Linked DNA regions of Lonchura striata. The protein of the gene in region 1 purifies or fractionates together with the protein of each later gene. This does not show direct contact. Links are inferred from orthologs where the notes say so. Each region holds a gene or a part of one and is shown on either strand. Other genes may lie near its edges. The genes, in order: UQCRFS1 and LYRM7.

Region 1 (11,395 bases):
TTTGTATGACAAAATTACTATTTCCTGCTGAAAATCTCATATTGAAAACCCCAGTATCCCCCTACCTATTTAACACACACAGTGCATCATTATACTTTGATCACCCACCACATATCTAGATCTTCTTTCTTCTCCTATCACTTTGGATGAAAAATCTGTAATTTGTAATAGAAACATTTGGTGTGAATCTTTAAACATTCTTGAATTTCATAATACTAAGTTTCATCCTAACTTTAAAAAAGTTTTCTGATTCTTTCCATATTTTATTCTGATTTCTCCCTCAGTAAAGAACGCTTTGTAAGTCTGCCTCAGCAGATTTCATTAGTATATGTCTACTTCTTGCACCAAGGGTCACTAAAAGTATGAAAATATGAAATATAACCAATCTAAAAACTTGGAGTAACTCCACTGGGAGCCATTAGGAGCAGCCTCAGTAGCATAATTATTCTCATAACTAAGCAAAAAAGAGAGGAAAAGGCTTTTATTTATTCTTATATATAAAAGAACAGAAAATAAAGGTTCCACATTAAAAAAAAAAAAAGATGATAAAAAAAATCTTTTGCATTATAGGCAAGTTTCCACAAGCTACTGTCAAAGTAGGTGTTTAAAAATAGCCTTAAGAGTATTTAGGTGATGATGACAGTGGGCAATTAATTAGCTCAATGCAAGCACAGGTTACCCTTATCACACCCAGGGCTCAAGCTGCAGTGTGTGAGCAGGCCCAGCTCTGATGTCAGCACAGTGTTTTTGAACTGCTGTTGTCCCCTGCAGCAATGCAGCTCAGAGTGATGCAGGAACGCACACTGCAACGTCACAGGCTCTTGGAGAATCAGCTCCTACCTTTCAACTGCAGCATCGAGACAGGCAAAGGCTACAGGCAAAGCCTCTTCACAGCAATTCCGAGGGGGAGGAAAGGGAGAAAGTTATGACAAGGGGACACTTTCATTGCATTAGCTCTTAATGGCGTGGCTCTGGATTGCCAACAGCTCCAAGAATTACAAACGAGTTCTTCTTTTGCCATTATCTGCTTTATGCTGGTTTAAAGGCAGTTTGAAGCCAAGGTTCTGCAACCTTGCTTCACAGAAAAGCTTACAGGAGGGCATAACAACGGTCAAGATCTTCACTGTACACCATAAAATTGAGACAAAATTATTTCCTTTGTCACTTCTTAAATGTCACCCTCCTTTTTCTGCCACTTCACTGAGGTTTCATAGGGGCATATCTACACACACAGTAGCAGGTGAGATTTTGCTTTGCATCAAGCAGCAAGCTTAGCTCTGGTGCTACTATTCACCGCCCTACTTCTGCTTTGTAGTCCTAGGAAGTTGGTTATTTTGAAAAAAAAACAATAATTTATGGTCCTCTGAAACATTACAAATATTCTATTTCTGTAAGCTTTGTGCTTAACTGCGCAACTGTGAGAGGTTTGCTATCAATCTCAGAAGAGTGAGTTTTTACAGCATGTACAGCTAAAGCTTTAAACAACACTTGGGGTTTCAGCAACCAAAGGCAGGGCAGAGACATTCAGCACACTGGGAAGTGGCAGTAACTCCTAATCCCTTCCTATGCACAGCTAAGGGGAGAATTTCTTTTTCCCAGCCCACAAACATTGTCAGCTGGGCACCAGACACAAATGGAATTCTCCAAATGCATTCATTGCAAGAAATACATAAGCAAAGCAAAAGAAGCCAGGATTCTCCTTTGTTCAGCCTTTCAGATTTTAGTCAGAGATGGTCATAAAGTTGAAAAGTTTTGTTTCCATCTCCAGGAACCATAAAAGCAAACAATATATAATAGTGGAAGCCAGATAGGAGTCAAACACATGCCCTTCAAGAAATGTCAGGGATTTTTCATGAAATGTAAGGGAGAAAACAAGAGGAAGGGTGAAAATACTCTCCCTGAAACTGACATTTTGATGATGCTCCAGGCAATTTCATTTAGGCTTTAGCTGCTGCCTTGCTGAGCTGCCTTTGATGCTGCCCCAGGCAGTTCTCATCTAGCCTTTGGCTTCTGCTTGGTCAGACACCTTTTGGTGCCATTTCTGATTTGCGTGAGCAGCTCTTATCAATTTCACATATTTGTGACTCTTTTTGCCCATTCTACAATTATGTAAATCTTTGATGTAATCTTAGATTTTAGGCTTGGTCTTTTTAATTTTATTTCCTTCAATTTTTTTTCTTTCCTCTCTAAAACTGACTCAGAAAATCCCATTCTTTCTGCCCAAGGGAATGCTTCACGTGCTTGCTTTGAGATTTTTTATAATGCAGATTAGAGAAGTATACTTTCTTTGTGTGTATCTCTTATTTGAGTATTTTATACACAAAATGTTGAGTGCAAGTCTGTCAGAAACAGATATTCAATACCCTTCTACTCCAGGCAATTTATCTTGGCCTTATTGAGCAGGGCTGTAAGAGATCTACAATAAGATGGCTGCTGAGGCTGTGAACACCTGCTGATCACCCCTGCATTCATAGAAAGAGTAGTAAAAAGCTGACAGCAGATCTCTTCTTCCCTCATGATACTTGAACTTAGTTTTTCCTTGACTGAAAAAGACCTGAATTTAGATTAGACTGTTGCACAGAGGTGTCATCATTTCAACTAACTTGAATAGCAGGAAAGAAATGTTTGACCAATCAAATATTCCTAGATTTTTTTTCCTCATTTTTACTGTCCATTTTCATTCCTCACATTTCATATATATTCCTTTAGATCACACCCTGTGACTTTTCAAAGCAATAGACCAACTTCAAAGAACATTCAAAGAAAGTCTAACTATTAAAGGGTCTCCATAATTTTAACCTTAAACAAACTGTATTGCATACATAAATCTATCTTCAGATTTATATGCCACTTCCACAGTGCCACACCACAAGACTAAAATCATTGCAATGGATATTAATTCTGCAAAGGAACCACTGCAGACATTTGGAGATGCTCTCAGAGTAGGGTGTACTTATCTAAACAGATGATGCATAATGACTGCTCCACTAACAATGCTCCACAGGTACAGTTTGGTGGTTTGTTTGTTCTCTCTGGTTTTTTTATTTCTGAAGAAGTTTATTCACAGAGAAAAAAAATTGATCAACAATTCAAATCCAAGAAGTAAACGTAAACCCTGAATTCTCAAGTTTAGTAGCACTGAGTTTTCAGGACATAAAAATGATGCAAGATGGCAAAGAACTCAAAGATAACTTTCTGGTGAGATCAAATTCCCTGGGGTGACCAACATTTTAGCAAAAAGCCATCCAAGTTCTGCAGTTTATCTCTAAGGAAAACAAACATGAGAATGAATTCTACATGGAGAAAGGCACTGCACATACCCAAAAGCATTACCATACTTTTCATCTACTTCATAATGCTGCAGCCCTGACATCTTATAGCTTTTGTATTCATGCAAATGAACTTTTAACTTTAGGAGGACAGAACATTAAGCAGCATAAATTTACATGAGGCTAATGCTTGTACGAATGCACAAAAACAATCACAGAGATCTGTTTGGATGATTTACACAATGTCATGCTGGCATTTTACTTTCATGTTTGGCTGGAAAATGCTCAGTACTGATGCTCAGTAATACAAGGTGAACAACACTTCCCAAAGAAACACCTACACACCAGAATTTGCTTAGTCATTTTATAATTATTATTTTTTTGAGCTCTGATATCAGAATGTAGTTCCTTTTTGCTGCAATATTTTAATATTTTATTTCTGTTCTAACCACACTGGAATTTGAATTCAGATTTAAGTCTTTAAAAAATCTACAACCATTCTTTCCCAAATAATCATAGAATGAACATTAAGGAATTGGAAAGGATCTTAAAGATGACCTTGTCCCATCCTCCCCTGCCATGGTCAGGGACACCTCCCACTAGACCAGGTTGCTCCAAGCTCCTTCCAGCCTGGCCTTGGACATTTCAAGGCTTGAAGCATCCACAGACTCCCTGGAAAACCTCTTTTGGTGTCTCACCATTCTCACAATAGGGAATTTCTTCCTGGTATCTAACCTGTATTTCCCCTCTTTCAATTCATGCCCATTTCTCCTTGTCCTGTAACTACTGTTCCATCACAGTACCTCATTTTGTCAAAAAGCTCCACAAGTAGCAAGCACATTTTGCCAACATCTCTGAGAATGCCCCCCCCCCCCCCCCAGTCAGAATAATATACTGTTTGGGATGAGGCCATATCTGCCAAACAGCTGAGCCAGGTTAGCAAACTCAAAACTTGCATCATTGCCAAAACTCAGAATCCTTAAAAAAATTCCACCCAAAAAAAACCCCAACAAAAACCCCCAAATGCCACACTTGTTAACAAACCCTTCTATAAATATTAGCTGAAATCCTCACTTTCATGGTGAACCACAAAATGTCTCCTTTAGCTCTACCAGCACTTGTTCAGCTGGGATCAGATCTTTCATGGGAGCTCGTTGTGGTCTCACAGGGAGAAGCAGAAGGGCAGGAACAGCTCTTTTCACTCTCAGGACCAGAGAGAGGACTTGAGGAAATGGCTGGGAGCTGACTCAAGGGAGGTTTAGATTGGAGAGCAGGAAAAAGTGGGCAGCCCAAAGTGTGGCAGGGCACTGGAACAGGCTCCTCAGGGTGGTGGCACAGCTCCAAGGCTGGCTGAGCTCAACAAGTGTTTGGACAACCCCGAGGCACACAGTGAGTGAGACTCTGGGGCTGTCCTGGGCAGGAGCAGGAGTTGGGCTTGCTGATCCTGATGGGTCCCTTCCAATTCAGCACATTCTGATTCCATGATAATAATTTTATAATCTGTTAGGTAATTGAAAATATCACACCTCTGTAGCTCCTTTTCTCCTAAATTATGATTATAAAACGTGTGCTGTTAAAATGGCCTTCCCATTTTCTACCCTCTCTACCTGGATAGTTTATTCCCACCCATATATTGACTGATAGCCCCCAGAGTTTATACAAATTACTTTTGCTCAAGAATATTATTGTGGTGTCCTTTAATTACTGCATCACCAGTGACTACAGTTACCAACAGTACAGTGAACTGAGTTGGGTAAATCATTATCTACTGAGGCTTAGATGTCACAAACGTGCTGGGAAAGAAATAAATTATAGATCAATAGTACTGGGACTGAAATGATCCATCCCACTTAATTAGAGCTACCATATTTCAGTACAGTTAACAGTTAAAAAGAAAATGAAAAAATCAACCCCTTAAATAAATCTTAATAAGGTCAGTCCTTAAACTACCATTCTACAAAGATGGGGGAGGTTTTAATGCACAATCATAAAATAATTTAGCAGCAATATCATTAGCAAGATCTGAATTTCAAAAGAATAGTTCTCCATACAGCCAGTATAAACCACTAAAGCTTCACAGCTGAGTAGCTGGGAAATTGTTGTTAGGTTTCTAGAGGATGGTTCAGCCTAAATTTTTTCAAACATATCTCTGTGTCAAGTTTATCCTGCATTTTGGGGGATTTTCAGGAGCTTGAACTGGTTAAAATGGTTGACTGGAGCAGGTAGGCATCCACCAGTGTGTTCACCTATACCAAACTAAATCTTACCATTGGAAGCCATAACAAGCCGAGCATAAAACTGCTATTATTAAGTAAAATAAATTTAAGGGGAAAAAAATTCCATAATTAAAAGTAACTACAAAAAAACTCAACAGATATTTGCTCCAGTCATTAGTGGAAGAGTGGTTCTCTCCTTTAGCCCAAAGAGTTATATCTATATGAAGTATTTATGTGAAATATTTACTGTCCCCTTGCAATTAACCCCCAGCCCCAGAACAGCCCCTAGAGTGGATGTGGTTGTTGTCAAACACACTTTGCATCCTCAAACTGTAAGTAAAACCTAACCCTCAACCAATTTATGACAAAGTAAAAAAATTAGGTTTTGCCCCTATTTGAAACTGGTCCAGGACTACCAAGAAAAAAAAAATTAAATTAGTAAACTAAGGAAAAGAGGAAAAAAAGAAACAAAAAGGACCAAAAATCACGCAGTGCAAAATAAATAGAGTAACAAAGAGCAGGTATTATCCTAGGAGCGACACAGTTCTAAGTATTGTTACCACACAGCTCAAAATCACACCCTAAGAATAGCAGGCAAAACCCACGTTAAGCCCTCCAAGGCGCCCTGGGGTCGCGTTGCTGTGTTTAGCAGGGTCCTGTCCCGCAGGAGAGGCGCGGGAGCCCGGCGTGTCCAGAGCGCCTCACGAACCCCTCCTGCAAGGTCCCGCTGCCATTTAACCCGGCAGCACCGCGGGGACAGGGCTGCGGCACACGGCCGCACGGAACACCCCGAGGAGACTGGAAAAAAAAGAAAAATAGAAGGGGTAAAAGGTGGGGGAAAGGGGAAAAAATAAAAATAAAAATAAAAAAACACCGAGGCAACAAGGCTAGGCAGCGCTGTATTGCGCCCGCTCCCCTCAGGGCGCCCCGCTCCGCGCCTGCGTCACCGCCGCGCGCCGGCGCGTGACGTCACGCCGCGCGAGCCCGCGGTGACGCCGGGGCCGCGCCGGCTGGAAGGTCGCCGCGGGGACGCCGCCATGCTGTCCGTGGCCGCCCGCGCCGGGCCGTTCGCGCCCTTCGTGTCCGCCGCCGCGCACGCCGTGCCCGGCCCGCTCCGCCCGCTCGCCCCGGCCGCCGCGCACCGGGACCACAAGGTGCCGCTGGACGTGAAGCGGCCTCTGCTCTGCCGGGAGTCCCTGAGCGGCCGCGCCGCCCGCGGGGGTCTCGTCGCCAGCGCCAGCCTGAACGGTGCGGGCCGGGGGAGCGGCGGGGCGGGCCGGAGCGGCACCGGGACTGCCGCGGGCTCAGCGGGGCCCTGCCGGCGCTCCCGGGCACCGCCCGGCCCGGCCCGGCCCGGCGGGCGGGGGAGCCGAGCCGGGAGGGGACAGCAGGCGGGCGGGCTGCGGGGGCTGGGGCCGATCGGGGTTCTTAAATGCTTGGTTCTGTTGTCACCGGTGTAATTGGCACCCACTTACAGCTGCAGAGCTCGTTCAAGGGCACCTGAATGCCAGCTTCCTTCAATGACTGAGCGGGGCAGGCTGCAGGGACCGCAGTGTGTCACCTCTGCCCAAGTAGGGTCAGCCCCGAGCACAGCACTGTGTCCGGGCGGGTCGGGATGTCCCCGGGGTATCCAGGGATATTGAGGGGGACAGCTCAGTGATTTTTATTTTACTGCTGAGGAAATGCAGCTAAATCCTGTCATTCGGGAAGGCTTTTATACGCGGACACAGGAACAGAGGGGTGCAGTGAGAGCACACCGTGTGTTTTACCCAGGTGGGGAAAGCATCGGCCAGGGAGTAACGCCGAGGTGTTCTTCAGAGCCCGACCTCTGCCCGAAGGGCTGTGGCTGGCACTGCAGCTCCTGGAGGGCTGCTGCCCAGCTGTGCAGCTCTCACTGCAGCTCCTGGAGGGCTGCTGCCCAGCTGTGCAGCTCTCACTGCAGCTCCTGGAGGGCTGCTGCCCAGCTGTGCTGCTCTCACTGCAGCTCCTGGAGGGCTGCTGCCCAGCTGTGCAGCTCTCACTGCAGCTCCTGGAGGGCTGCTGCCCAGCTGTGCAGCTCTCACTGCAGCTCCTGGAGGGCTGCTGCCCAGCTGTGCAGCTCTCACTGCAGCTCCTGGAGGGCTGCTGCCCAGCTGTGCAGCTCTCACTGCAGCTCTTGGAGGGCTGCTGCCCAGCTGTGCTGCTCTCACTGCAGCTCCTGGAGGGCTGCTGCCCAGCTCTGTAACTCTCAGTGCAGCTGCTGCCCAGCTCTGCAGCTGTCTCTGATGGAATGTTCTACCTCAGCTGGTGCAGAGTGCACACGTTTAATTCTGGGAGGGCAGTGCCGTGCTGAAGATGCTCTGTAGCAATTAGACTGTACTTCATCTGACCCTCAGCTGTAAAGGGTTTGTTCAGGTGAAAATTCTACAAATCTGGAACTGACATGGCTGACATTTAGCTGTGCTCTACATTTTAATTAACATCAAACATGCTTTTCACTGAGTATAGCAGACTTTTTAGAAGTTAGTCATATTACATGTTACTATTGCTTTAAGTCTATACTGAAATAACTTAATATGGAGCACTATCTCAGAATTTTGATTTTTGGTTTAATTTCTTTGCAGTTAAAAGCCTATAGCAATTACTTTCTCAATGCTGAGTTTCTTCTAAGTAAATATAGTTATTATCCTCATTGTACTGCATATAAATCCCTGAGAGCTTAAGTACTTTGAGACATCTGTTAACTTTGTGCCAACTGACAGAAAATATAAAGACTAAATAATACTCTTCAAGTAACAGGTTGTACTTTGGCAAGTAATTTGTTCTGTCTTTGCCATGTTCTTTTCTTTGGCTTATAGATTTTCAGTGGAGGACACAGCTTTCTTTTGCTGGAGAAACGCATGGGAGACCTTTTAGTTATCCTTCATATCCTGTTATTTGAGCACACGGGTTTGATGGGGGAATCCCACTTGAAATAGAACAGTTAGCCCTAAATCTTTTAAAAAGCGAGCCTGGGGTCTGGAGGTGTAAAATTATTTCCTGTGGCTTTTAGCTGGGACAACAATTTAATATAAAAGAGGTTGCCTGGTATTTTTAATGATAAAAATGCTTAACCACACACTTAATATTATTGCAGGCGTAGAAGTTACTTCAGACAAATAATAGAACAAAAATTACACTGCAGATGTGCAAACTTCACTACATCAGATTTCTTCTTAGTAGCTCTTTACAAGAAACATTTGAATAGAAAACAGGTCTGTCTTTTCTAGTCATGGTATCCTACTGGAGCATTTTCTTGACATTTACTGAAAAAACAGTTCACTTTTTTTCCCAGAAGCCCAGAACTTCTGACAGATTTTCTGCACCCTGATCAGGTTTCTTTTTCAAAGAATAGGAAACCAGTTTCACAGATCACCTTTGGTGTACCAAAAATTCTCTTTGAAAACCATCTTCATACAACATAAAATTAAAATGCTTAATTAATGGAATCCTACCCAGACTTTGGAATAACTTTTACCCATTATTCCAAACCTGCCACTAAAACAGTATAATTTCAAATGCATGCCAGTGTTTTACCTGGACGTGGTGTCACCTGCTGTCCTTTTCCATGCAGCCCCCGCTGGCGTGCGCTGTGTCCACAACGATGTCACGGTGCCCGACTTCTCTGCCTACCGCCGCCAGGACGTGCAGGATGCCAGCGCCTCTTCCCAAGGCAGCAGCAACTCCAGGAAAGGCTTCTCCTACCTGATGACTGCAGCGACAGGTGTGGCAACTGCCTACGTTGCCAAGAATGTTGTCACCCAGTTTATTTCCAGCCTGAGTGCCTCTGCTGACGTGCTGGCCTTGTCAAAGATTGAGATCAAGCTGTCTGACATTCCAGAAGGCAAGAACATGGCTTTCAAGTGGAGAGGGAAGCCCCTTTTTGTGCGTCACAGAACCCAGGCAGAAATTAGTCAGGAGGCTGGAGTTGATGTGTCTCAACTGAGGGATCCGCAGCACGACTTAGACAGAGTGAAGAAGCCCGAGTGGGTGATCCTGGTGGGCGTGTGCACTCACCTGGGCTGCGTCCCCATCGCCAACGCCGGGGATTTTGGCGGGTACTACTGCCCCTGCCACGGCTCCCACTATGACGCCTCTGGCAGGATCAGGAAAGGCCCTGCTCCCCTAAACCTCGAGGTCCCAGTTTACCAGTTCATTGGGGATGACACGGTGGTGGTCGGCTGAGAGACGAGGTGCCTGCTCACTTCCATGTTCCTGGGAATAATGTTCACCAGAAGGGTTAACTGAGGCATACTGTAAAACCTGAAATTAGCTATCTAGATTCTCAAGCAGAACTATGCTTGAATACTCTGTTTGATTTCAATAAAAACTTGGAGTGAGCACTTGTTCCTGACTTAAAATAAAGTGTCTTTCTTTATGTACACATTTCTAGTGTGTCCAGCCAAGGAGATGCTACAGCAGACCCAGAACACAGAGCCCTTCTGAAGGGCTGCTGATTCAAGGCATTGAGCTACAAAGCCACAAAGAGATGTTTCAGCCAGCATTGTTCCTGCCAATATAGCATAGAGCTGGTGTTTCACTGCATGCAGAACAGGAGGAGAAACAAGGTTTGCTATTTCTAGAACAAAGCCAAAAGACACCAGTAATCCTGTACTTTGTGTTTCCTTCCCGTTCTTTACCACTGGTATGAAAATACTTCTGCACTGCACTGATGTGCTCCCTCAGTTGTAGAATAAAAACTAAAATCCTCAGAAACTACAGAAAAGTCTGAAAGAATTTTCAAGATGCAAATAATAAAAGCTTACTCACAATAAACTAGTAAAAAAATCAGATTGCTACAATTAAACAGTATTAACCAGAGACTACAGTGTGGTCTGACATAATACTGTTCTGTGGATATAGTGAGGGAGAGTTCTGTCTGATACCACTTTCACAATAGAGGTTGTCATTCATTTCAGTGACTGTCACAATCTAGCAAGTAGCAGTCAGTAAAAATTGAAAACCATTGTGTGCAGCCTGTTTGGTGAACAACTGACATCCTTTGTGCATGCAGATATTTCTGAAGTACAATTTTCTTTGTGCTTCATGAAAAGAAAAGATTGCTCTCTCCCTCTCTTCAAATGGATCTAGACAGCATAAAGCTGCTGTAGCTGAAGCAAAGGGACAAGTAAAGAAAGGTTCAGGCAGGTGAAGTTAAAGCCAATCCTGCATAAAGACACAGATTCTGACTTGGATCTCGTAAAGCCCACCCAGAGGAGCCCTTCATGACTGCCAAGGAGCCAGGGGTAGGTGGGTGGTTACAGTGGACACTTGAGCCATGGTGCAACATTCCATTAACTCCCAGTTCTGCCGCTGACTCAGAGGCATCCCCAGGGATGGCCAGAGTCTGGAAGGTTCTAGAGACCATGGCATGAAGAACAAGGGCAATAACTGGGAAATGTCAACCAGAACTCTATTTAACATTACCCTGCCTTAGGGGTTTGTGTCTTAAAAGGGAGATTTTATTTTCCACATATCTAGCAACTTAGAAAAACAGCAGTAACTGAGAGGTCAGACAAAACTGATAAAATTTGGGTGAATGTCATCAAGAGAAATGTGGGTTTGGAGCCATTTCCATCTGCAACTCAGCCCCCGCTAATACAAGGTCTTGAGGTGCTCTTCAGACCAGGATTGGTAGCAGTGGTACAGCTAGGAGCAGTTTGCTCATTCCCACACCCATCAGAGGTACTGCCATCATTTGTCAGTAGTGTTTGCACTGAGAGGAGGAAAGGGGGACCTTGAGCACTTCAGCAAGGCTCACTGTGTTCAGAAAATTTGTGTAGGAACTGTAAAAGAACAGAAGTTGTGACATATAACATGGTCCGTTAGGTAAACAGCTGTATTAATTCTACACTTTCAAAATTAATGATGCTTCAATTTATTAAAGCCTTC
Region 2 (11,357 bases), on another chromosome or scaffold:
TATAGCTAGTTAAAGGCATTCAAAGTAGTCACTACCTCTTTTCTACTAGCCTCCATACTTCAAAACATTTGTATGGAAACTTTGTGCCTTTGAAACCTCCATCCATCCTAGGCAGTAACATCAATGAATAGCTTACATTACGAATTTTACCAGAGAATAACAGACAGGCTATTTGCCTCACTATTTCTTTCATATTTCACATTCTATATTTATTTACTAAACTGTAACATAAATATAAGTATCTTTCTAGCATGCAGGCTTACTCACCTATTTTGTCAGAATCTGTGTGAACCGCCTGAATAACAGAAGTTCTGAGAATCACTTCAACATCTGAAGCTATTTTAAGAAGCTAGTAAAAGAGTAAGAAGAGAGAAACAAGAGTAATTTAAATTCCATGTGACTATTTCTGAAGCTATTTTCCATACTAGACAACTATTCAAATAATAAAGTCATTCTGTTATACTACTCAGTTACTTATGTACTATGTATGCATTGCTTTTGCCTTGGGGATCGTGGAATAACTTACAGATTGACATGTAAGTGACCTTGACATGGAGCACATAGTGAGGGAAACACTGGCTCAGTAACATACACGAGTACATACATCTATGTATGTAATTAAAAAAAATTAAAACTGCAAATGAGTAAGTTGAAATGCAACTATAAAACTAATTAACTAGTTTTCGATGATCAAAGACACCCACTCACACCCCAATAACCTTTGACTTCTCATAGTGAAATTGCAATCTCATTCTTTCAACACTACTGCTCCTGAAATAAGGAGACAAAAACAAGGGCAAAATAAGACAAGAATTAAGAATACTGAGGTTTCACAGTAGAACTGTGCAGAAAAACAAGGCACTACCTACAGACTACCCAAAGTATTAGTATTTGGCAAAAGGCCTGGAATTCCTTCTCTCACTAAGAGGATAAGCTGCAGCACCCTTGCTAGCTTTGCTAAGCCATTAAGAGAAGTCTAATACTTGTTTGCATGATTCCTGTATCAGAAATAAATAGAATTGCTCAAGTGAGATGTTTCAGGAGACACGCTCACACTAGGAAGTGGCACATATCAACAGAAGTGGATCTTTGCAAAGTCTAGAGCTCAGTGCTTGCCATCTACACTGCACTTCTCATGCTCCTCCCTTGTAAGAGCTTCGAGCAGGTACCCTCCAGTTCCTCCTGCTGAAGGCACCCAGGCTGCATGCTCCTGCAGCACAGCTTCCTCTTCAGGTTGACCTTAAGGGAATTCTGCTTGTTTGTCTGACATTTTACATAGCAAGACAAATCACAGGTGCATTAGATTCAGCTATCATATTTCTCATTCTCATACCTGATCTCCTTATGTCACCAAGCTTGACATGTACAAGTACATATAGATACAAGTACTTGTTGTCATGTTAGAATGCACTCGTAGTTTTCTATTCTGGCTGGTCAATACTCCATTTTTAGTTGCTGTCCAAAGCAGAACACTAACAGCACCACATTAATGCAAGCAAGTGCTCAAACTTCCTCAAGTCCTATATAAAACTTCATTCAGTTCCTCTGCAACCAAGTCCAATCAGTGTGTACATGTAATAAACATCTGTGATGTCCTAGGAGTGTGTAGCTGGAATGGAAGTCTAGTATTCCTTTCACCAACACAGTTAATCAAATATCAACTAATCCATATTAAAAAGCCACATATGTGAAATTTGCAGGTTGCCTAGAAAACAAATAGAGATTTCAGAATTGCATCAAATATTTTTCCTGTACATCTATTAAAAAAAACAACCTTGAACTCATAACTTAGCTGATCAGACAGTGGTAACACAAGCAATGAGTATTACTACAGGAGACTGATAACAAGCTGAAATTAGGAACTCCTAACTAAATTGTCAGAATTATTTACATTACTGTTCAGTGGCTGATATCAGGAAATGTTTTAATTTTATTTCTTCAAGGGACACACATAGGCACTTTCTTCCAACCAGTGCCCAGTGACAATGTAAATACACTCTGATAAAAGGCTGATGACAAGGACTAAATTGATCACTCTGTAGCGATGTTAATAACTAAAATTATCTAAATACAGAAGTTCTGTTTCAGTTTACAGTAACTTTTAGAAAAAAATTACTCAGCAAGAAGTGTTGAGGCAACAATTATGCAAAGGTAATGAACTTAGTGAATTAACAGAATGCTTTACTTTTAATGCATGATGAGGAAAGAAGAAGCAAAAAATCCCTGTATTATAATTAATATATACTACAGCTATACTATACTACAATTAATCCTAATAATGTTGCTGTTTTTTGCCTTCCACAAAGATGCTGAGTCATTTGTGATCTGTTAGTAACTGAGCAGAGTAATTTCTCTGTTTGTTTCTGTTTACCTAAACAACAGTGAGCAGGTAAATTTAAGTGACCACACTGCAGATAGGTAGTATGAGCAAAGCATAGAATATTTACATAACAACTGCAACTTTAAATATTTTCTCATATAATTCTATTATAAACTTCAAAAAAATCACACTGAACTATCAGAACACACTTTCTACTTATGTATTTTTGTATGTACAAAATTCTGTAAGACAGTATCAATACCATTGTAAAGACAGTATTAATACATTATATGTTTATGAACAAAGATCCATGTAGAAGTCTTTCTAAACCAATCCAGCTTTTATGATGTCTCAATGTGTGTACAGTGGTTTAGAGATCCTTTAAGTAAAAAACAAATTTCTAAATATTCTTACAAGCAAGAGAAAGCAATAAAATACCTCATTAATCTTCTCTTCAGATGCCTCGTCTCGGTTATTTCTGAATTCTTCATTTATCTTTTGTCTTGCTGCTAAATAAAGTAAACAAAAAACCAAAGTATGAACAAAAATTTTATTTTGAATTTGTCACTGCCCCAAAGTTAAGAATCTTAAGCTCTTTATGGCACATTCCTGGGGCACTCTGATCAAAGTATTTCAATGTAAGATCTCCATGTAATTCACATGATGTCACATTTTAAGTTGACTGATATACAAATGAAATAAGATTCCAAATTTAGCATTCTGTACTGCATACACAAGGTCTAAAAAAAGCAGGATTCATTCCGTGAGGAAAAACCATACATAGAGAATTAATTAGTACAGCTAACCATGCTGTGGCTGGACTGAAGAGAAGTTAAAAACACAAAAGACATCTATCTCCCAGGAAGATCAGGAACATTTGAAAAAGATATGTTACTCTTCCAAAATATGTGGGTGCTTGAATTTAAGAACCATTTTTCTGTTTCAAATTAAAGAATATCTGGTTAGGGACATACAAGTTTTCCTAATTATTACTTGAAAATTATGGGAGTAACTTGAAGAAAGATTATGTTAAGAATTATCCTTCTCTGTACTCCAAGAAGAAAGTTCCACAAAATATAGGTATGCACACACCCCACAAAACAAGTATCTCACCTTCGAGGGCTTTGTTATCATTTTTAAAAACTTCTTGCCGTGTTCTGTGTAACAACTTAAAAAGCTTCAAAACCTGCCAATACAACATCAATATAATTAACTTATTTGCTAGCAGGAGTGTTAGTTAAAATGAAAATATTTCGGTTGAAATTTCTTGTTACTTCCATTCAGTACAGAATTTGATACAGAATCAATATCTAAGAGGCTTTACCTAAATTTCTCATTGAAACACTTGCAGCCAAAGCAGATGTGATGTCATCAAAATCTTAGACAGGTCTAGGTATTTCAAATTGCCCTAAGATGCTGGCACCACAATCCTAAGTAATTATTTGGCAGGATGGGAATACAATCCTGAAATTACATGGACACGAGCATTATTTATTGTGCCAATGTCAAATACACCCAGAAGAACTGGAATAACTCTAAAAGCCAAGTTACCTGAAGGAATTATCAAGGTTACAACAGTGCATATTCTCTAGCTATTGAAAGAAGACAGAAAAAGAAACAACTGAAGTATGCTCACATAAAAATCTTCTGCAAGTGGTGCAGCAGAACCAATGCAAAGTCCTTTTCTTAAATGCAACTGCCAGGTCAGGAAATGAACACTTCAGTAAAAGCAAACACCCAAAGTTAGGATTTACAGTGTACAGAAGACACCCCTGAACACGTATGAAAAGCAAACCCCCGGAGAATCACAGCTCACAGTCTTGTGGTTTTGATCATTCATACAGACTGCAATGAATCACAGAAATGCTCAAACCCTTATGAGACCTTTTTGGTGTTTGCCAGACTGAAAAGTCTCTGACAAACACCAGAGAAACATAATCTTGATAACAACATGCCTTTTGAAGCTCCTTCCAGTACTTCCTACCATTTTGGCATCTCTAGAGGGCACAATTCTAGGCACTTCATAATAATCTCAAATTGTTCTCTCACAATTAGTATTCCAAATATTTTTCAGAAGGACATAGAGGAAACACAGGGCTGTAACCCAGCAAATGAACAGAGCCATGTTGCTTTAACTGCACCATTCCCTAGATGGATGAACCTGTGGAAAGTAAACTCACAGAATTAAAACACAACAAAGGTTTTACAGGTATTTTAATATCCTAAAATTTTGCTGCCCCACAGTGTATTTGGCATCTTTGTAAATAGCCAAGTAATATTACAAGTGGTTTTATGTTAAACACACATGTATGTTAAAACTTTAAGTTTTTTTATTGCTATTTTGAACAATCTGATGAGCCATTTCCAGGCATCCTCCTACCCTTACAGCAGCCTACAGCTTCCTCACAAGGGGAGGAGGAGGAGCAAGCACCAATTTTACCTCTGGTATGCAGTGACAGGATCCAAGCAAATGGCCTGAAGTTGTGTCAGGGGACACTGATGCCACTCAGGGGAAGGTTCTTCACCCTGAGGGTGACCAGGGAAGTGGCCACAGCCTAGCAGAGCTCAGGAAACTTTTCACCACACCGGCCACAGTGGTGAAAAGCTGTATGAGATGGTTTTGATCAAGACGCATTAATGCAGACACCTCTGACCTGTACAGCCACTTGCTTTCACAGAGGGCCCCACCAACACCTGCTGACTGTACACCAAAACCAGGGAAATTACACCCTAGCAATGGAAGGCCTTATTAATTCTTAGCTCCTTGTTCTTCCCTATCTTACCCTCACGAGACGTGCTCTTGATGCATTTTAATCTGCCTATCGCATCTTCTCGCTTGCTTTTCCCGCAACGGCCTTTGCGTGCAAACCGCTACTTTCTTTTACCTAGTTTTTTATCCTTCTTATCCTGAAAGTCTGTGTCTTGTGGCTCTACAAAAGCTACACAGCTGCGACCCCCCCCCCCCAAGCACAGAATACGTGTGTATGAGTGTGTATATGTGTTTATGTGTGTGTTTATATGTGTTTATGTGTGAGTGTCACTCGCCTGCCCGCGGCTCCCCATGGCTCCCGCCGCCGGAAGTGTCGCACCGGAAGTGCCCCTCCGGGACGAGCCGCACCCTCCCGCGCTGCCGCCGGTGCCTCCGCCAATGCTGTCCCCCCCGGGGGCTGCCCGCCGCCGCCGTTCCGGGCAGCCTGAGTTCCGCCGCCCCGCCGCCGCGGGGCTGGCGCGGCTTTCACGGGCTCACGGCACGGAATTCCAGCTCTGCCTGGAACGGACCACAGTGGCGCATCGGGTCCAGCGTCCCTGCCCAAAGCCAAAGCACATGGCACACGACTGTATCCAGGCGGTTCCATCCCCACTGGGGAAGACTTCGCCACTTTCCTGGACAATCTGCTGCTGTGCCCGCTCGCCCGCACAGTGAACAAGTTCAGAATTTCTTCCTCGTGTTCACAGAAACTTCCTGTGCATCGCTTGCTGCCCACTGCCCCTCGTCCTGTTGCTGGGCATCACTGAGAAGAGCCTGGATCCCTCCTCTGACGCCTTTCCTTCAGATTTCTGAAGATAGAGTGATGAGGTTCCCCAAAGGCGATAAATAAAGGGTCATTTACTCTAACATAGCCCACTAACAGATTAACGTATTTTGCATTTTGTCCCATTTTCCACACGTGGCTTTAACTATTCTTTAGAGGCCCAGCTCCCACAACCTCTCCTCGAAAGAGAGATGCTCCAGTCCCATCTCCGCTGCCTCCACTGGACCCACTCCAGGAGCTCCATGTCTCTCCTTGTCCTGAGGAGCCCAGAACTGGACACAGAACTCCAGATGTGCCTCACCAGGGCTGAGCAGAGGGTCAGGATCACCTCCCTCAACCTGCTGGCAGTGCTCTTCCTAACGCACCCCAGGATCCCATTGGCCTTCTTGGCTGTAGTGAAAAATGCCGATCACTTGGTTTTTAAAATTTCTAAAAGTTTAATAATAATAAAATGATTATAAAATAATAATACAATTAGCGTAATAAAATTTAGAGTTAGGACAATTACAAGACAATAAAAAGCAAAGAATTAGGGATGTCCGGGTGTTCTCAGACACTAAGTCACGAAAAGCATGACTTGTGAACAAAGGAATAGCCTTAAAAGCAATAGCCTGTTGCATATGCATATATCTCATACATGATACATCAATTCCTTGCAAATTAATTCTGGTTTTTGTCAACTTCTTCTCCTTAATCCTGGTGGTTCCAAAAAGTTGGAGAGTAGGTGGAAGAATGTTTGTCTTTTCTGATAAGAAGGCAGTAACTTTTCATGGGCCCCCTTCACTGCCATCTCTGTGTGAAGAGTTTCTTGATTATCTCATCTTCCTGCTTGAGCTTGTAACAAATTCTATATCACAGAATTTCTATTTTAACAGTATGATGTAATCTAAAACTACATTTAACACACTACTTTAGAGAATTAACACAGCATAACTTTCTAACATTAAACATATAATATTCATTGTAACATTTGCAAAAAGCCAATCATAAAATATGAATTTTTCACACATCAGTTTCTGTGAGATATCTAGAATGGCCAATAAATGATGATATTTGCTGCTTCTTCAAATCAGTTTTTATTTTGCCAGACTGTTTCCTTGCTCTTGCAGTTAGATCAGCCAACGGCAGTTTGGAATCCTTCCTTATCTGGGATGCCACCTTCTTTCCCAGACTATTTTTTCACCACTTCAGAAGAAAAGTTGTGGTTACAATTCCTTGTTTCTGTGCTTATCAGTAGTATCTCAGGACCTCTCCAGTCTCTAGGTATTAAACTGCACTTAGAAAAGGCTGCGCTTTTCAAGGACATTTTTAGTTCCCAGGATCACAGCTGCCAAGCTGGCAGGCTTTTTTTCTGCTGGTGTTATCCAACAGGTTTTTTTTTTTTTTGGGTTTTTTTTTTTTTTTTTTTTTTTTTTTTTTTTTTTTTTTTTTTTTTTTTTTTTTTTTTGTTCAGTCATTTCTCCTCTCTAGTCAGGTCACTTTCTTGGCTGCTCACACCAAGTTCCCCACAGCCCTGGCTTGCCTTACTCACACCCTGACCAACCCAGCCTTGGCCTGGCCACATCATGGCCATATCTATAAACCTGAATTGCCATTCTCTTGAAAACCAAACAAGCTTCTAGTTCACTAACACATCGTTCAGCATTAGCTAAAGGCAGCATAAGGATTTTCTGTGTAAGCAGCTTTACTGGTCACTACACCTCTAGCTTCAATACAGCCCATTTAATTGTTTAACTGCAATTACATTGTAAGCTAATTGAACTATGGGAACACTAAACTTTTACTCAATAATTTAAATATTTTTATTATTAATACTTACTTGTAAGCATCTATTAAATACTTATTTTTACTATGTAACTCCTAAAGAAATTTGATCTGTTAGCAGAAGTGATGCTTATTTATAATTTAGTTGCACAAATAATTATTGCAGATGTGAATGAATGAATGAGACCCTTTGAAAAGAGGATCTAATTAATTAATTGTTTTATTCAAAATAATATAAAAGTTGCTGTTTACATGGTGAGACAAAAATATATGCTGAAGTTAACTATATGAAAAAAGATGTTTTTGCTTTTTAGAGAAACTTCTAAACTTGTCTCTTTATGTCTTCTCTTAACATAGAAATATACTTTCTAACTAACTCCACAGCAGCGTTTGCCCAAATTAATAATATATTTGCTGGATAACCTTGGTTAGACAACAATATAATTCAAAGAAATTTGTCCCTGAAGTACTTATTTTAATTGTTATAAAGCTCCACTATCATCTATAGGACATATACATGTCAAAATATATTAATCCAGAACATCATTAAGGAAGAGAATAAAAATTCATTGTCTAATGTGCTTTACCAGAGTTTTTTTTTTCAGGGTATTTAATGATAAACTATTTCAGAGTTACAGAAACATATGACAAATTCTGCTCTTTTTCTAACATGTTCAGGTAATCCGCTGAGGAAACCATATTAGGTTAATGCACTCTAGCAGTACTGATTCCCTGACTCTCTCCAAAATGCTTTCCTGTAACATTTTAGTCTAGAGACAAATATATAAAAATGTCTCTATTAATATCCTCCTAGATAAATCCTCAGGAAAATCAATGTATTTTATTTGTAAAGCTTAGAAAATCATAGAATCTGGAATGGTCTGGGTTGGAAAGGACATTAAAGGTTATCTAGTTCCAATGCCCCTATGATGGGCAGGGACACCTTTCACTAGACCAGGTTGCTCAGAACTCCATCCTGCCTGGCCTTGAACAATTCCAGGGACTGAGCACCCACAACTTCTCTGGGCAGCCTGTTCAGTGTTTCACCATGCTCACAGTAAATAATTTCTTCCTCACATCCAATTTAAACCTCCAATCTTGCAGTGTCAAGCCATTCCTCTATGTTCTGTCACTACATACCCTTGTAAAAAAACCTTCCTCCATTTTTCTTGTAGGGTGCTTCAGGTACTGCAAAGCTGCAATTAGGTCATCCTGAAGTCTTTTCAAGGGTGAGCAATTCCAATTCTCTCAACTGTTCTCATAGAAAAGGTGCTCTGTCACTCTGATCATTTTTGTGGCCTCCTCTGGACTCACTCCAGCAGTTCCATGTCCTCCCTGTGCTGGGACCCCAGGGCTGATGCAGGGTTCCGGGTGGGCTCTCAGCAGAGCAGAGCAGAGGGGCAGAATCCCCTCCCTCCCCTGCTGCCCACGCTGCTCTGGATACAGCCCAGGACACGTTTGGCTTTCTGGGCTGGGAGTGCCCATGGCTGGGTCATGTCCAGCCTCCCACCCATGAGCATCTCCAAAGCCTCCCAAGGTCTGTTCTCAATCTCCCAGCCTGCGCTGACAGCAGGGGTGACCCCGGTGCAGGACCTCGTACTTGGCCTTGTTAAACTGCATGAAAATGAAGCTTCCTTGTTACTCTTCAAGTTTTGTGTTGGTTTTTAACCCCTGCTTTTTAATTTCTTCTATTTAATGACTGATGTCGTAGATATATTAAAAAAGCATTTACAACTAGATGTATAGCTGTGTAACTTCGTGCTGCCCTCTGTGAATTATTGCTTGGCCATATTGATTGGTTTGTTTTATGCTTACGAAATCACTTATGTGCAGAAGGGCTGGCAAGTCAAACTGCCCCTCTGCAGGACCGCGATTCCAGGGGCACCAAACACCTGCAAACTCTGGTGGAAAAGCTAACGCAGCCCAGCCTGGTGCAGTCTGCAGGAGCTCGTCCCAAGAAATCACACAGATATTTCATTTGGATTTGATAAGCAGTAATTCTGCCCACAACAGCCTCTCCCGGGACTACGCTGCCACTGCAGATCACCTTTCCTTGATCCCTGCGCGCAGCCGGCCATGGCTCCTCCCCATGGATCCCTCCGCGGTTCCCGGGTCAGCGAGGGCGCGCCAGCGCGGTGGGCGGGACCAGCGGGACAATGACAGGCGAAACCGCCAATCAGACGGGCGGGCACGGCCAGCCGCCGGCGCTGGCCCAATGAGCGCCGGGGGGCGTGGCCGCGGGGGAAGGCGGGGCTGAGCGCCGGCGGGAGCCGCCGCCATGGCTGACGAGATCAGCAAGGCGCAGGCGGCGCGGCCCGGCGGGGACACCATCTTCGGGAAGATCATCCGCAAGGAGATCCCCGCCAACATCATCTTCGAGGACGAGCAGGTGCGGGCTGTGCGGGGGCCGGGGGCGCCGCGGAGGCGCTCGGGAGCGCGGCGGGGCGGGCGGTGCGGCTTCCCTGCACCGTCCCTGGAGCTGCATCCGGCTCCTTGCCAAGGGTCGCGGGTTCTCGCAGCTGCTGTGGGAGGGTACTCGTGAAACCTTTACCACTTCCAGGCAGCCTTCTTGCGGCTTCCGAGCAGAGCACCCGGCTTGTGCAGGTCCCGATGTGCCTCTTTTACAAAGATGATGCAGCTCTGCCTGCTGGGCTTTGGCAGTGAACCTCGAGAGCGATTGCTGGTGCATCACTGCATGTTCGGGCCGAAACGAAATCATTTAGATGAAATGCAGTGGACATTCCCAAAATGTAAACTAACTCGTACTTCGTATAAGATCTCCTGCACTTTCCCCCCCCCGTATTTACAGGGGCCTTTGCTTTTGAAATAAGGGATTATTCTCAGTGTACAATACAGACTCTCTAGGATGCAGTTTGTCAGATTTATGTGCTTAAAAATCATGCATAGCTTGAAACTGTTTCCTTAATAGATGGCAGATTGTTACAGTTGCCATATGCTCTGAAGAATATTGAAAATGTTGCCTGCTTTCCTAAAGTCATGCCTTTGTTACTGCTCTGTGTTTATGTGAGGGTGTGTGATCTTTCTTTACGGGAGTCAAACATCTGTGAGTTTTTCCTCAGCTGCGGTGGTTGCAGCAGAGTAAGCTGGGTACTGTTTGATTTAGGAATCAGGCCATTGACTTCGCTGAGCCCACTTTGGCAGCTATTTGTGTAGCTGGTGTATTTCTGGAAAAGTCATTACCTACAGTACATCACTTGGTTTTTACTTCAAAGTGCACAGAAATGTAGAATTTCTAGGTTTCAGTTGATTGGTGGGCGATCTTGAATTAACATTGTTGACTTTATGGAGGTCTTTTTAGAGGTGGCTGGAAGTGCTAAAAGGAGAAGGGTAAGGAAGGCCTTTAATCAATAATTGACCTTCAGAGAAACGGAAATACTGAAAAGTGCAAAGTCTCTGTAGAATTATGCCTTATCACCATCTAAACTTCCTGAAATGAGGTTTGGTTTCCCATGCACTCATGAATTTCTGTGATTGTGCTTTTCCCTTATTGCTACTTCTGCTTTCTGTACCATTGAAAACTATTTACTTCCAATCTTTTGCTCTTTAAATTCTTGGATGCAGTTTGGTCATTTGCATTCTTCCTCTCTGGGACTATATATAATAGGAAAGCTGCTTGTAAAATGGCCAGCTCTAAGTATGATTTATTTAAAGGGGTGCAATTAGTTTTATTCATCAGTTATACACTTATAGCCCTTCCCTGTTTGGAAGAAATGATCAGT

The links.
Region 2: the proteins of UQCRFS1 (region 1) and LYRM7 purify together in Homo sapiens (co-immunoprecipitation; 5 studies listed by BioGRID and IntAct, with this or other methods). This does not show direct contact. The link is inferred for Lonchura striata from reciprocal best matches to the Homo sapiens genes UQCRFS1 and LYRM7.

The regions. Positions count from the first base shown.
Region 1 is NC_134615.1:9,624,691-9,636,085, forward strand, and holds UQCRFS1 (cytochrome b-c1 complex subunit Rieske, mitochondrial), read left to right. Parts: upstream 1-6,484; 5' UTR 6,485-6,522; coding exon 6,523-6,733; intron 6,734-9,077; coding exon 9,078-9,688; 3' UTR 9,689-9,851; downstream 9,852-11,395.
Region 2 is NC_134642.1:7,053,879-7,065,235, reverse strand, and holds the start of LYRM7 (complex III assembly factor LYRM7), read right to left. Parts: upstream 5,419-11,357; 5' UTR 5,384-5,418; coding exon 5,366-5,383; intron 5,348-5,365; exon of another isoform or gene 5,104-5,347; intron 4,039-5,103; exon of another isoform or gene 3,957-4,038; intron 3,785-3,956; exon of another isoform or gene 3,768-3,784; intron 3,507-3,767; coding exon 3,434-3,506; intron 2,830-3,433; coding exon 2,759-2,829; intron 350-2,758; coding exon 268-349; intron 1-267. Other genes in the region: adenosine 5'-monophosphoramidase HINT1, read left to right, coding at 9,896-10,006.